Drosophila melanogaster: one gene and its partners. The protein of the gene in region 2 interacts with the protein of the main gene of each other region in a pairwise test. Each region holds a gene or a part of one and is shown on either strand. Other genes may lie near its edges.

Region 1 (3,671 bases), on a different chromosome or scaffold from region 2:
CCTTGACCGTGATGTCCTTCAGGTCGCCAAGGCCGAGGCCGATTAGGTAGAACATGCTGGGCGACTGGTGCGACTGCTCGGCCACTGCAACTCCTGCCAAATGTTATTAAAATCGCTTTTTAAATGCAGTCAACACGTGCCGTCGCGCGTTGTGTGACCGCCGCCAGAGCGCCAAGAAATACTCACATTGCGACAATGGGCTAAAAAAGCCTGTGCAGCAATGGCGCGTATTTTGAATTTGAAGGCCATTTCATTTAATTGGGAAATAAACACTAAAAACTTTGGTCCACTACTTAAGAAATGATATATTTGGTTTGCTTTTTTGATCTCAGCTGTATGATACCTATGTTACTCTTAGACTGTAATAATAAGTAAACTACTTAACATAACTACACTCCAGCAATTATTGGAACTCTGAATTTGTTTGCTCGGAAATCTTGAAGCTGCAAAGTTGGGGTCTGTGGATGAAAAATATCATTTAATTAACGTACTTACGTACTTACAACAATATTACGCCATTTCAACTTACGTTGTTGAGGCGCCCCGAACCACGCAATAAGCTATGAATCGTTCAATCTGCAAAGCAATCTTTATCTTTACCGATTCCCTTATTATAAATGCATAGGCACTCACCATCATTTCAAAGTCGCCATAGGCGGCGGAGTGATCCATGCGCACCTGCAGGAAGTACTTGTGTATCTCGGCACCCAGATTGTCCTTCCAATCAGGACACTCCTCGCGTATACGTCTGCAATTGATGATCATGCTGAAAGTGCGGATGAGCATAAACAAATCTGCCTGGCGTCCACTGTTTGCCAACTGGCGCCAGTTGACCGTTTTGGCCATTTCAAAAGCCTTGAGAGCCTGCATATATATGGGTTTAGATTTTAAAGTGCTGATGGAATCAGTTTTAGGTTCATACATATTCCTTCTGGTCCAGTTCAACTGGTTCTCCCGTGTACCGTCCCATTATGGTGAGTAGCAGGGCCATAGCTACATCGTTGCCAAGATGGCAGGATTCTACCATGGCGGGAATCGCGGCCTGCAGGTCCAGCACTCTTTCCAGGCGCTCCATACCCACGCCAGTGATAAGGTTTTCGTACAACCCACTGGCCATGTAGAACATCTAAAGGGAATAAGATGTAATTGATCGGAAATGTTAGGATAGCAGAAAGGGGAACTACCTCCTCCGAGTCCAGGGACTCTGCCAGGTGACACACCACATCCACCATCATGTAGCGCTCCTTCATCAGCAGAACGTTGTCCCTTTGGTACGTCATCATCATAATGGAGAGGGTAAACAGATCGAGCAGCTGCTGCAAATTGAGTTCCAGCTTCCCGGCTAAGGTAGCCATCATGCGATTCAGCAACTAAGTTAATATAAACAAATTAGTAATAGTTATTAGGAAATAAACAGAATAATAACCTGTTTGCCGTCTGTGGTTTCTGCAGCGTAAGGAAACAAATGCTTGATGGACGACTTCCGGAGAAAGGACATGATGGATTCGTGGTCATAGCCTAGGCGCATTTCATCCACTTCCACGAGGGAATTATTCAACGATGAATCAGATAGATTCATTTTGTATTGGCGGTAAAAAATGCGCAAAGCAAATAAATAGAAATAATAAACTGAAAGAGTGACCAGGCACCAAGGGGTGGGTCAAATAGCCTAACGCCTAGTTAAGCGCTGTATCGCATGAACGTAAACGGTCATACCATTATTGTTGCTCCACGTGCGGCGATTTTTATTCATTTACTACTTTAATAATCAATTTTAGTGAATTGACACTAATTAAAATGCCGCCTGTTAAGAAGCCCAAGGCGCAGAAGATCGAGAAGCAAAGCACGCCCAAAAAGCCCATCGATGCAGCCAAGAATGTGGTTTCCGGACAGGTGAGCGGCTACCAAAAACAAATGCTCCTCCGTTGGGTTGGATAACCGTAAACTGCGTCCATTTTAGCTAAAGAAAAAGGTGACCAAGGCCAGGCCGCAGAAGCCAAAGGGTCCAGAACGCGGCGTGGTCATTGTGAAGCACCTGCCTCACGGATTCTTCGAGCAGCAGCTGCGCCAGTACTTCCGACAGTTCGGTCGGGTGCTGCGCGTCCGTTTGGCCCGTTCGCTGCGCACCGGTAACAGCAAGGGCTACGCCTTCGTGGAGTTCGAGTACCCGGAGGTGGCCAAGGTGGCTGCCGACACCATGGACAACTACCTGATGTTCCAGAAGGTGGTGAAGGCCACCTACATTCCACCAGAGAAGCAGACACTCAACTTCTTCAGGACTTCCTTGAAGAAGGTTGTCAATAAGGTGCGTTCAAAGGGAAATACATCTAATGTCCGTTTGTTATTCATAGTTGTACTTCACTTGCAGGCCGGCAAGGAAATCTATGTCTCGGATTTAACCAAAGCCACACAGCGCAGCGTGAAAAAGCAGAATAACTGGGATGAGTCCGCCTGCCAGAAGCGCACCGTGGCCAATCTCAACAAGATCAAGAAGCTGCAGGAGAAGTACAAGGATCTGGGCATCGACTTCTCCAACTTACTGGTGGAACCAGTAAAGAAAGCAGCAGGCTCCGCTGAGGCATCTACAAGCCAGGCAGCCGCCAAGAAAGCCGGTAAGAAACAAAAAACGGCCGCGAAGAAAGAACCAACGCTGGAGGATTTGCTGGGCAACACCATCAACGAGGACTCCGATGATGAGGACTACGTTGATGCATCCGATGATGAGTCCGATCTGGAGGCTGAGGAGGAGCAAGCGGACAGTGAGCAGACCAGCGATGACAGCGACGAAGAGGAGGATTTATCACCGCCGCCCAAGCAGAAAAAGACTAAGCTGGCTGATAAACTGAAACGCAAGCCCGGCACTGGTGGTGTGCAGAAGAAGAAAATAGCTCCGCCGGCTAAGAGCAACAAGAATGCCGCCACCCAGAAGTTGCAGCTGGCCGCAGCCAAGTCGCTGGCCAAACCCTTGCCCAAGGGAAAGGCCAAGAAATCCAAGTAGTAGCTTAAAATACATTTACTATAGTTGTTAAGTAAGCGAAAACATTTTGTAAGATGAATTGTGTTAAAATATGTCCTTGTACAAACTAAAATGGCGTTTTGGCCGAGCTGCCTTGCTGCTCCTCCAGTTTGATGCGCTTGCACTTCATGCGTCGATTTTGGAACCACACCTTCACCTGGCGTTCGGTCAGCTCCAGCGCCACTGCGATTTCGTAGCGACGCAAGCGAGTCAAATAGTTGGAATAGCAGAACTCCGCTTCCAGCTGCTTGAGCTGCGTTTTTGAAAATGCTGTGCGTTCCTTGCGATTCGAGCTGATTGCCCGGAGTTTGGACCTTTGGCTTGGAAGTTCTTGACCAGTAGGTGCCTCATTTTGTAACCATTGATCGTTCGCTTCGTTGCACCAATTAGTTTCTAGTTTATTGTAATCCGCGTAGGAAGAAGACGCACTGTGGTCATATACATAGCTGCAGTCCGTATAGCCCTCCGTTTGGTTCAGCCACGATTTCGTAATATCCTCGTAGCAATAGGATTCTTGGTAGACGTTCGCGTGGGAGTTCTTCATTGCCGATGTCTTTGCTTCTAGGTCTAAACTATTACTGAAATCTCAGATTCGGCGGAGCTGCTTTTTAAACAAGGCGCAGAGTGTGCCAGGCCAATCTGCTTTTTCACTTAG
Region 2 (2,663 bases):
AGGACGGGTCGTGGGTGTCGGGACGCTTCCAGATGGCGTACGGGGTCCCGATGGCCGGGATGCGGTCCTTGTGCTGCAGCCGAATCTCCTCTATGTAGCTGCTGTGACACACGTACTGCAGGATGTAGCCCTCGAGGAAGGTGCAGTTCTGGTCCTCGCATGCTGCCGACACTGGTCCGAGGATGAGCAGGAGCAGCAGGAAGGACACTGGCCGGAACAGCGGGCACGGCGGATGTGGTTTGAGCTTGGGCGGCGGTAAAGTCGTAGTCGAAGGCGGTGGGTTGCAGACCGGGCGCAGGGCGTGCCGAGGATGCTTGGGTTGCTTTGTATGCTGAGGAGGACGGAGCGACGAACGGTCGATCCACTTGTTATTCAGGCTTCGTGCGCTTGAGAGGCGCACTGGCATTGCTTATAGGCAAATGATTCTTTGATCATTTTCGAAAAATTTGATGGGAATTTCCAGGAGAATAAAAACGGTTCCGATCACTTCTCCCCCGCTTGACAGAAGATTCTCTAGTTGCCCCCGGCCCTGCGTTTAGCATCCGCTTAGCATCGACTTTCTTAGAGAAGCCTGAGTCCCAGGGTCCAAGGCCGAGTCCTGGCGGCCCCAGACGGAATATCACGATTGGGAACCCGCCGCGCATACAAAATGGCGACGCGATCGAACTTCGTGGCCGGCGACAGTCCACAGTGCTTCATCAGGTCCCGCACGTAGGAGAAGGAGAAGTCAAAACAGTGGATGCTCTCCGGTCGAATGTGTATGCCTAGCTCATCGGAGTCAGCACAATGAAGGCAGTTGAGGCTCAGGCTAACGTTCTCACACGGCGATATGGGCGACTCATAAAAGGAGATCAGCAGCTCCACACTGGGCAGTCGTCTCCACCAAAGCCAGTAGGGTACGTCGGCACTGAGCCAAATGTCTCGGTAGCTCAGCTTCAGGTCGGTGCTGTATTCGGCCTTACAAACCAGCGTAAATGGAATTTCGTTTTCTAGCATGAAGTAGCAGGAGTCGAAGGAGGCCTCGGAAGAGGACAGAAGAAATGCGATCGGGAGCAGCCACAGTTTCCATGTCATGGCTTTGTAGGTTGATGTCCATAGGGTATGGCATGTAGAAATGTAGACTAATAAATCATGGCTGACATTTGGAAAGCGACGCTTCTTCTAGCGCAACAATTTATTCATTCAATTTTGAACAATATCATTTTTACATTAAATTTAGATTTTTCGGGTACAAAACTTTCATTTTAGTAAGTGATCACCGCACACACGACAAGAAGCAGGTTTCTTTTCACACTTGTCGAAGTTGCATCACTCTTCGGCAAGTCGGGGGTTTTTATGCTAAGCGAGCCGTAGTGAATAATGGGCTTCTTGGTAAGGACACCTCCCTCACTTATGTCTTGGCCCAGACAGTGCCTTTTTAGCTCATTCGTATAGCGCAGACCGAAGGGGAAGCAGTGGAGGGTAGACGGTGTCACAAACAAAAGATCGTTGGTATTTCTTCCCTTGGTGGCTAGAAAGAATTGGCCAAGATCCATCTCGCCTTCCTGCAGATTGATGGTATCATAGTTTGGAAACATCGTGGTGTAAAACGATACCAGAAGAGCAGAGTCGTCCTCTTCGGTCTGCCAAACACTGTAGGGAGTGTCGGGAGGAGCTCGGTTGTCCCGAAACATTGTATACATATCCTTGGGGACATTTCCCTTGCACACGAACTTTAGAGTGACATTCTTTGCGAAGGTGCAATTCCCAGTGCTGTGTATGGCAAGAATTTGAAGCAAGGTCGCCAAAAAAACTATTGATATTCCAAAAAAGGTCAAGTATAAGCGCATTACAATAAATTTAAGGATGACTCATTACGGGTTTCCAAATTTCAACTCAACTGACAACAGGCTCACAGTTTTAAGGACCCAGATTGATTTTTTCTAAGCCATTTTAAGATTTCCCTTTGAATTATAATATTTATTTTTTATGTTAAGTTTTACTAAATGTTTAGTATTCAGGATTTAATTTACATAATACATTAATAAATCTTTTAAATTATTTTATAGTTACTAAAAACTATTTGTTCTCATAAAAACACATACGACTGGGTAAATATAACCTAGTAAAGAACAAGTTTTTACATCCGGTCACTTTTATTTCGATTTTTACGCGGTAGTCAGGCCAAGGAACTTGTGCACTACACATACCACTTTTACAAAAAGTTTCAACTAACTTTTGCAGCCAAAGATAAAAAGTTTTTTGAATTCAATCAAATTAATTAAACAATATCTTTGGTGATCCAGTCTATTTATGCACTATTCGATTCCAAGCAAAGGCTATGCTATTGGTACTCTTTTCAAATTTCATTAAATGCATTATTTTAAAAAACAAAACAACCAATATATGAAACATTCGGAATTTGTGCATTACATTAATGGGTTGAATCAGTTTTCCCTAACGAATACTGGATTTTAAAACCATTTGTGGATTGTGAATGCCAAGCCCAGAAATCTTCTCTATTTATAGAACTCATTGTTTTGATCCGGTCATTCCATCTCTTCCTCGATCTCAGTGCAGCTACTAGGTTTCAGACAAGTCGGAGGAGAAAAAATGCGTCAAATTGATTTACACGCAAGCTAAAGTTCGTTGAAAGGGCGGGCTGCAGCAATGTGAAGGAACAG
Region 3 (3,406 bases), on a different chromosome or scaffold from region 2:
GAGGAGGTCACCCGGCAAATAGCCGCCTCCTTTGGCCGCCCGTATCCGGAGGAAGTGCGTTTCCGGGTAATGGGCACCACGGACCAGCGCTCGGCAGAGATAGCCATCACCGAGTGCCAGCTGCCCATCACAACCGGAGACTATCTCAAGCGGTACTCGCAAATGTGCCACGAGCGATTCCACAACGTACCCCTGCTGGAAGGTTAGCACCACGACCAGAAAACTAATCGGCATTTCTCCCTATAAATACTTCTGCTTCAATTACTATCCTACTGTGATTAAAGCCGTTTGTTAATCGTGTGCTTCCTTCCCCGTTCAAGGTGCTGAGCGCCTGCTGCGTCACCTGCACGCCAACAAGGTACCCTTTTGCTTGGCCACCAGCTCCGGCGCCGACATGGTCGAGCTGAAGACGGCCCAACATCGGGAGCTGTTCTCCCTGTTTAACCACAAGGTGTGCGGTTCGTCGGACAAGGAGGTGGTCAACGGCAAGCCTGCGCCCGACATTTTCCTAGTGGCCGCCGGCAGATTCGGTGTGCCGCCCAAACCGTCCGACTGCCTGGTGTTCGAGGACTCGCCGAACGGCGTGACGGCTGCCAACAGCGCCGGAATGCAGGTGGTGATGGTGCCGGACCCACGACTGTCCCAGGAAAAGACCTCGCACGCCACACAAGTGCTGGCCTCGTTGGCGGACTTCAAGCCGGAGCAGTTCGGGCTGCCCGCCTTCACGGATTGAACTTAATGGCTGACGTACTTTTTGTAGCTAAAAGATGCTATTGCTGTAATTGGAAATCGATGTACCTACCAAGAAAATGAATTTAAGTGTAAATGTTATCCCATATACACGTATACGTATGTGTGCATAAAGCATCTGGCTTTGCCTTTATTTTGCGCCTAATCTACATAGTTTTCCAGCGTAAGTTCTATTTGCCAACCGCTTCCAGGTTTTTGTGTATGTCAGGAGCAGCGTGGTTGGCCAGGGAGAGGGACACTTCCTTGCCGTTGCCTGCGGACATGGGAATCGATGTGGGGGAAGCTAGCAGCGCACATTATGCTAATCTACTCACCATAGCGGGCGTAGAGGCGGGGCTGGACGCCAGAGCACTCGCGCACGAGGATCGGCAGGTCGGGATTGCTCTTCTTCAGGTTTGGATAGAACCTTTCCACGTATTCCCTGTAAAGGAACGCTGCTTTAGCAAATTATATAATTTAAAAGCGGAAAATGACAATTTCACCTGACTCCCTTGGAAGTGTCTCCTTTGGGATCCAGAATGATTCGCAGCTCCTTCAGTTTTGGAGTAAAACTGGCCAATCGGAACAGAGTAATACCCATTTTGGCACCACTTTTGCGATTTTGAAATGTTCAGGAAGTAAGTCTATTTAAATGTCGGTACTACGCAGGGTTGTCAAACTGTCTTGGATTACATATTGGTATTATTGTTTTTTAAAAACAAATTACTTTTTGGCTCAAACTAAAATAACGTCTAACTCACCAGAGACGCGAACCATTAGTTGCATCGTTTGAATATCCATTCCAAAGACAAGAACCAAGGCAATTGTCTTGGCTGACACCAGGTCAGCATTTGATTGGCCCACATCGATAAATACCGATAAATGCTTGACGGCCAGTCACTCATTTGTTTTGGTAAACATCATTTGTCTCTGGAAAATATTCAATTGAACACGTATTTGAACAATTATGGCGTCCGTGCATTGTCAACTGTGGATGGGAAGCGTAAGTAGCAACGTGCATTACCCCAGACACATGACCCTTTAAGCCCGCATGGCCATTTCAGCTGGAGTCCTACATGACGGAGAACTTCATAATCGCCGCTTTCCGGAAGATGGGCGAAGATCCCACCACGGTGCGCCTGATGCGCAACAAGTACACGGGCGAACCGGCCGGCTACTGCTTCGTCAACTTCATATCCGATGACCATGCGCTGGACGCGATGCACAAGCTAAACGGTAAGCCCATTCCGGGCACCAATCCCATTGTGCGATTCCGTCTTAACTCGGCCAGCAACTCGTACAAGCTGCCCGGGAATGAACGCGAATTTAGCGTCTGGGTGGGCGACCTCAGCTCGGACGTGGACGACTATCAGCTGTACAAGGTGTTCTCCAGCAAGTTCACATCGATCAAAACCGCCAAGGTGATCTTGGACAGCCTGGGGTTTTCCAAGGGTTACGGCTTTGTGCGATTTGGCATCGAGGATGAGCAGAAATCAGCGCTGTACGACATGAACGGGTACATCGGATTGGGTACCAAGCCCATAAAGATTTGCAATGCCGTGCCCAAACCCAAATCCGAGTTGGGTGGTGCTGTGGGCGAAGGCAACACAAACTATGGATATGGAAGCGGTATGACTGCAGCAGGTGGCACCGACTACTCGCAGTACTACGACCCCACCAGCACCTATTGGCAGGGATACCAGGCCTGGCAAGGTTACTACGAGCAGGCCGGTGCTTCGATCACAGATGCGGCTGCATACTACCAGCAGGCCATGTCGCAGTCGCACTCTAATCCGCAGACTCTGGCCCAGCACGCCGAGGCCTGGAGCGCACAACGCAGCGCCCAGTACGAGCAGCAGCAGCAGCAGCAGACCGCTTCCGCCGCCAATGGAGCTGAGGATGAGAACGGACTGGTGGAGCACAAGTTCGTCCTGGATGTGGACAAACTGAACCGAGAGGCCATTGATGCCGACCGCCGTCTGTACGATGCTCTGGAGAGCTCTAAGTGGCTGCCCATTGAGCAGCTGGAAGTCTTTTAGGATACTTATCTACTATATTTATAGCTTACTATAATTACAGCTTAGATATAAGCAAAAAATATAAAAGCCTGACTTGTAGCGTATTATTGTTTTTGAGCCTGCTATAAACTTTTATGCTCCTGAATCTACATTTCTTAACAAAGGATTCAAAATAAAGGATACATTTTTACAAAATATCCCTAATATCCTTACAACAGATGTATTTTATCGATATACAGACGGAATACTATTCTGTCCGTGTCATCGCCATGTCGGCCTATCGACTGTCGATAGTTTCTGCCTTGGCCCGAGACTTTCGGAGATTGTGCAGACAATTGCGGACTAAATAAGCGTTGAATCATGAAGCGAGCGCGGCAGCCGAAGATTACTACGCAGGCCCTGCTCGATTTTGACTTGGGCGAGAGTTCCTCGGATAGCGACTTCCTGCCGGACATCGACAACTGCTCGGACGGATCGAAGGACGAGAGCGATGGCGACGGTAGCAGCAGCGACGCCAGTGGTGGCTCCGATTCTGAATCGGATTCGGATGCGGAGAGCGAGGATTCAACACTGCAGCTCCGGCAGCTGTTGGCGGAAACGGAACCGTCACCACTGGAGAACGGGATCAATGGAGTGGACCACTGCGCAGCTTCCTCCCC
Region 4 (4,790 bases), on a different chromosome or scaffold from region 2:
TGCCAACGGAAACCGAATGGCCTGGGTTCAGTCCAAACCAGAAAGGGAAAACTAATTGCAGTGCTCATTTTTTCCTTGTTAATGGGCCTGCAAACGAGCTTCGAGTTTCCCTCCTTCTATCGATCCTTGCACACACACACACACACAGATACATCCCTGTATCCACACATGCGTTTTCGCTTGTGCCATCGGAAAAAGTTTTTCCCCCCAATTTTATTTGCCTCATTTCGCTGCCATTGTTGCTGGTCGTTGAAAATCTGCGTGCGCAAGTAACAACATTTTACAGCTGCAATTAAAGTTAGTTAGCCCACCGCCTTCAGCCCTTCGTTTTTCCCGCATTTCCCACGGCTTTGCCGACAACAAGCTAATGCACTGCACTTTAATTAACCCAACACCAGGAGACCGAACCCAGAAATTATACATCCCATACGCTTTCCACCCAACTAATGGCAATTTATGTGCGATAATTTGTGGTATGGAAACCATAAAAACAAGTGCGACGACTCGAATAACAATCAACTAAATAACGAAACACTCTAAAGCAGAAAAATGTACTTTTTTTATGGACTTAATTTTATTGTATTAAATTTAATTGTTTGCCAAAAGCACGCGAAAGCTGCTCGCTTAAAACAGTTGGACCATGAAACTGCCGTTTTGTTTGCTGTTTATATGCCAAGTCTTAGCTAGAAGCTATAAGTTTAAATAGTTAAATATTAGTTTAATATTTCATAATGTGAACGATACTTTCAGGTCCTTTCATATTTTCCCACATTTAATGCAAACAAGTTATGTTTAAAACGGCATTCGTGTGCATTAGAGTCAATTACCGTGGATTGCAATGCCCACGCAGTGAAGCTAAAGCCAGAGGCAATCAGCATTATCAAAGGCTTTTAATTGTCATAAATCTGCGAAAGTTGTTAAAAACCCATTTAAAATTGTCACCGTAATAGCACACTCAAGCGGCTCAGTGGCATTTAACCAACTATCTGCCACATCCCATCGCATTCCATCCCTTTCCCTCCTCCGCCAACTGATGCGTTTTATTTTCTTGGCTCGATGGCTTGGTTGCTCCATCTTTTTGCCAAGTTCAGTTGCAGCCTGCCAGAGATGTTAATTAGAAAACTCTTGAAAATTATTAAAAACTTTCCAAAGCTGTCAGACAGGCGAGAGCTGAAGAGATAGTAGTGGTAAAATAGAACTTCAAATAGTTGCCAGCTCGGTGGAAAATGTTTTTAAGAAAATTTTCTAGCTCCTTTTTGATGGCTTCTCAAAGTATATTTCACTTGAGAAATTACTTTTAAAATGAAGGCGGCAGAGTTTAATATTGTTTGTGAGCTGGCATAAATCCGTACTTTAATTTAATTAAATATAATCAAAGATCTCTGCTGCCTTTCCAGATTAACTCAGCCGGCTTCCGTGTTTCAAATTTCACAACTTGACTCAATTTGCGTTGTCTGAATTACATTACAGCATGTTGACATCTCTCCTATGCCTCAACCCTTTACAAACTGGCTTATCGTCCAGCTCGAATAATATATAGAACTTCTCTCTAATGGATCTGTATACAAATTGCCTCTGTTTCTGAACTTGATTCGGATTCAGTCTACGGCATCTGCATGCCACTTAGCACCTTTTATTAGTGCCAATTAAGACTGATTTCACGATGCGTTCACGACGAGATTACAGACCCCAGACTGCCCCAAACTAGATAATCAACCGCAGAGAATTTGTGGCGCGCGATTCTGACACTGAATCCGAGCATCCAAGTTTTCAGGTACATATCTCGATTGCGGTTAGTTAAACGCGGCATCGCAAAGTGAACAGTTCTCGTCATGACGCAGCTAGAGATTTCCAAGAAGTCGGAAAAACCAGCGGAAAAACCGGCGGAGCAATGGGGAAATGGACTCGAATTTCTTTTCTCCTGCATTTCATTATCCGTGGGATTGGGGAATATCTGGCGTTTTCCCTACATTGCCTTCCAGAATGGCGGCGGTACCTTTGTGATACCGTACCTGATTGCCCTCCTGGTAATTGGACGGCCTGTCTACTATCTGGAGATATCCCTGGGCCAGTTCACGGGTCGCGGCGTGGTCAAGGCCTTCGATATGGCTCCCCTGCTCAAGGGCGTGGCATTGGGTCAAGTCCTGGCCACAGCCGCCTCCATCACATACTACTCCAGCATTATGGCTTTGACTCTACGATTCTGGCTGGCCTCCTTCGGCTCCGAGCTGCCATGGAGCAGGTGCTGGGAGAGCTGGGGCACCGATTGCCACGACGGCAATGCTCAAAATAGCAGTGGAAAAATGTCACCGGCACAGCTGTACTTTGAGCAAGTACCTCCACTTTTAAATCATTCAAGTAGTTGTTGACAGCATTTTATTAAACTAATTAAGACAAGCAGAGGATTTTTAGAGAACATTTTCTTGGCAGACATATTATACATTAATGCCATCACAAATTCATATAGACTAGGCTTTATTTTCTAAATTGTTATAAATGATTTTATGCTTGTGCTCTACCTTTCCAGACGTGAGATCCTTCATGAGGTGCCCAACATAGACAACGGACTGAGTCTGCCCAACTGGCAACTGGTGGCCTGTTTGGCGATTGCTTGGCTGGTCATCGGAGGAGTCCTCATTCGCGGCATTAAGAGCAGTGGCAAGGCGGCCTATTTCCTGGGCGTATTTCCCTATGTGGTGCTGCTCATCCTGCTCTTGAGAGCCGTTACCCTGCCAGGAGCCATCGATGGCATTATATACTTCTTCAAGCCACAGTGGCGAGAGCTGCTGAATCCACTCGTTTGGTATGCAGCCGTAACACAGGTCTTCTTTTCCCTGGCCATCTGTTTCGGCACTTTGATCACCTATGCCAGCTACAACAACTTCAACCGCAACGTATACAAGTGAGTTTATTGGCTTAAGATAAGATACGGAATGAAAGCTTAGAATGCATATTACTTTAACAATTTCATTACGAAATCTAAAGCTAAGCCAAGAGATTTATTCGAGCAATAAGATTACTAACCGCCACACCCCACAGTGACATTGTGATAATCACCACCATGGACTCCTGTTCATCCATAATTGCTGGCTGCATTACCTTTGGAATTCTGGGCAATCTGGCACGCGAGACTGGCAACCCGGATATTGGCAGTGTGGTGAAGGGCGGCGCGGGATTGGCCTTCATCTCGTATCCGGAGGCCATTGCCAAGTTCGAGTATGTGCCACAGGTAAGGTATCGAGAAGAGCCAGCGCCATGGGCGCCCTAAAGCACAACTACCTAAAGATGTTCGCGGTCCTTTTCTTCCTCATGCTATTCGTCTTAGGCATTGGCAGCACCGTGGGCATGGGATCATGCATCCTGCGCGTCATTCGGGATCAATTCGGATTACGCTCCCCGCCCATTTGGAAACTGGCCAGCGGCCTGACTGTTTTAGGCTTCTCGGTGAGCATCGTTTACATGACCCCGGGCGGTCAGTTTATCTTGAATCTAGTGGATTTCTACGGTGTCTCCTTCACCGCTTTGATCCTGGCCATTGGCGAATTGGTGGCTGTTGCATGGATTTACGGTGGGTTTATATATCCAACGTGGGATAAGCTATTGTTCAAAGTCCTTTTTGTTTCACTTTTTTAGGAGTTAATCGCTTTTGCGAGGACATCAAGTTTATGATGGGCATTGAAACCGGTTGGTACTGGCGCCTCTGCTGGCGTTTCATTACACCTGGTTTGATGACCGCCGTGCTCATCTACATGCTGCTCGATATGTCCGCTCTGGAGTACAAAGGTGTTGGCTATCCCACCTTGGCACACGGTAAGGCCACGTCTTCCTGCACTTCAATTTTATTGAAGGGTTTATATTGTATCCGTGTTCTCTTCTCTCCCCACTAACAGTTTTTGGCTGTTTTTTGGCCACCTTGGGGCTGATTCAACTACCCGGCTGGGCCATCTATGCCATCTATAAAAAGCGTGGCCATAACGGCAGCTTCTGGCAGGTATGTACACCCCCCCCCACCCCTCCTTTCCAGGGGCTTTATATCCATTTCCCGTCTTTTAGAGAATACGTGCCGCTTGCAAGCCGTCGGACACTTGGGGACCGGCCAACGTTCAGCTGGATGCCACCATATAGAAAATTAGCTCGGTACCCAACACTGCGTATACGTAATGGCTCCAGTAGTCAGGGGCATTATTATTTGATATGGTCTAGATGAAAATGGGTAGAATAAAGTGAAATATATGGGGCTCGTGGAGCCAAAAACAAAAGCGGGCTTATTCTGGCGGAACAATTTAACTGCCCGAAGGAGTTGAGCTGGCGAATGGAGGAAGTCGAGGAGGAGGAGCTGCTGCAAGCACTTTTAATTACCCCAGGGCAGAGCTCCAGTTGGGCGTGGCAGCTGCACTCCTTCTCAGTTGTGTTTGTGTTAGTCCGCTTGGCATGTCAGTCATGTCAGCAATGCGGAAATGCGCAAATACTAAATGAAAACAAGTAGCAGATGTTACTTTTCCTTACGACGAATCTTATAATACTCTTTCATATGAAAATGATTTCTTTAAAAAATTGCACAAGTTCCCATTTGGATGATTTATATATATTTTTAAAGAAATACTTAAGAATACGAATATTTAATATTCATTTATTGTACAAATTAAAATTTTACAATCAGATGTAAAAAACGAAATGTTATTCGGAAAGTTCTACGTTTTCCATTAAATTGGCCACAAATTGCAATATCCTTTTGTAAGGATACAAAGTGCTGCAGCGCAGACAAGCGGGATGACTTGGAAAAGGATGAA

Evidence for each region.
Region 1: the proteins of CG43330 (region 2) and CG6937 interact in a two-hybrid assay, tested with the Drosophila melanogaster proteins (one large-scale study listed by BioGRID).
Region 3: the proteins of CG43330 (region 2) and Secp43 interact in a two-hybrid assay, tested with the Drosophila melanogaster proteins (one large-scale study listed by BioGRID).
Region 4: the proteins of CG43330 (region 2) and List interact in a two-hybrid assay, tested with the Drosophila melanogaster proteins (one large-scale study listed by BioGRID).

The regions. Positions count from the first base shown.
Region 1 is NT_033777.3:22,583,066-22,586,736, forward strand, and holds CG6937 (uncharacterized protein), read left to right. Parts: upstream 1-1,707; 5' UTR 1,708-1,797; coding exon 1,798-1,893; intron 1,894-1,960; coding exon 1,961-2,305; intron 2,306-2,368; coding exon 2,369-2,998; 3' UTR 2,999-3,083; downstream 3,084-3,671. Other genes in the region: Dph5 (diphthamide methyltransferase), read right to left, coding at 1-55; CG33107 (uncharacterized protein), read right to left, coding at 404-458, 530-576, 634-864, 923-1,126, 1,185-1,370, 1,427-1,579; btn (buttonless), read right to left, coding at 3,084-3,560.
Region 2 is NT_037436.4:22,503,350-22,506,012, forward strand, and holds CG43330 (uncharacterized protein), read right to left. Parts: upstream 1,075-2,663; coding exon 562-1,074; 3' UTR 520-561; downstream 1-519. Other genes in the region: CG43331 (uncharacterized protein), read right to left, coding at 1-406; CG43329 (uncharacterized protein), read right to left, coding at 1,245-1,829.
Region 3 is NT_033779.5:4,452,653-4,456,058, reverse strand, and holds Secp43 (tRNA selenocysteine associated protein), read left to right. Parts: upstream 1-1,605; 5' UTR 1,606-1,696; coding exon 1,697-1,732; intron 1,733-1,793; coding exon 1,794-2,768; 3' UTR 2,769-2,890; downstream 2,891-3,406. Other genes in the region: Gs1l (GS1-like), read left to right, coding at 321-733; ND-B8 (NADH dehydrogenase (ubiquinone) B8 subunit), read right to left, coding at 921-1,003, 1,065-1,171, 1,233-1,330; CG15439 (uncharacterized protein), read left to right, coding at 3,108-3,406.
Region 4 is NT_033778.4:18,727,282-18,732,071, reverse strand, and holds List (Lithium-inducible SLC6 transporter), read left to right. Parts: upstream 1-1,790; 5' UTR 1,791-1,832; coding exon 1,833-2,329; intron 2,330-2,527; coding exon 2,528-2,902; intron 2,903-3,039; coding exon 3,040-3,229; intron 3,230-3,285; coding exon 3,286-3,568; intron 3,569-3,633; coding exon 3,634-3,810; intron 3,811-3,890; coding exon 3,891-3,991; intron 3,992-4,053; coding exon 4,054-4,125; 3' UTR 4,126-4,255; downstream 4,256-4,790.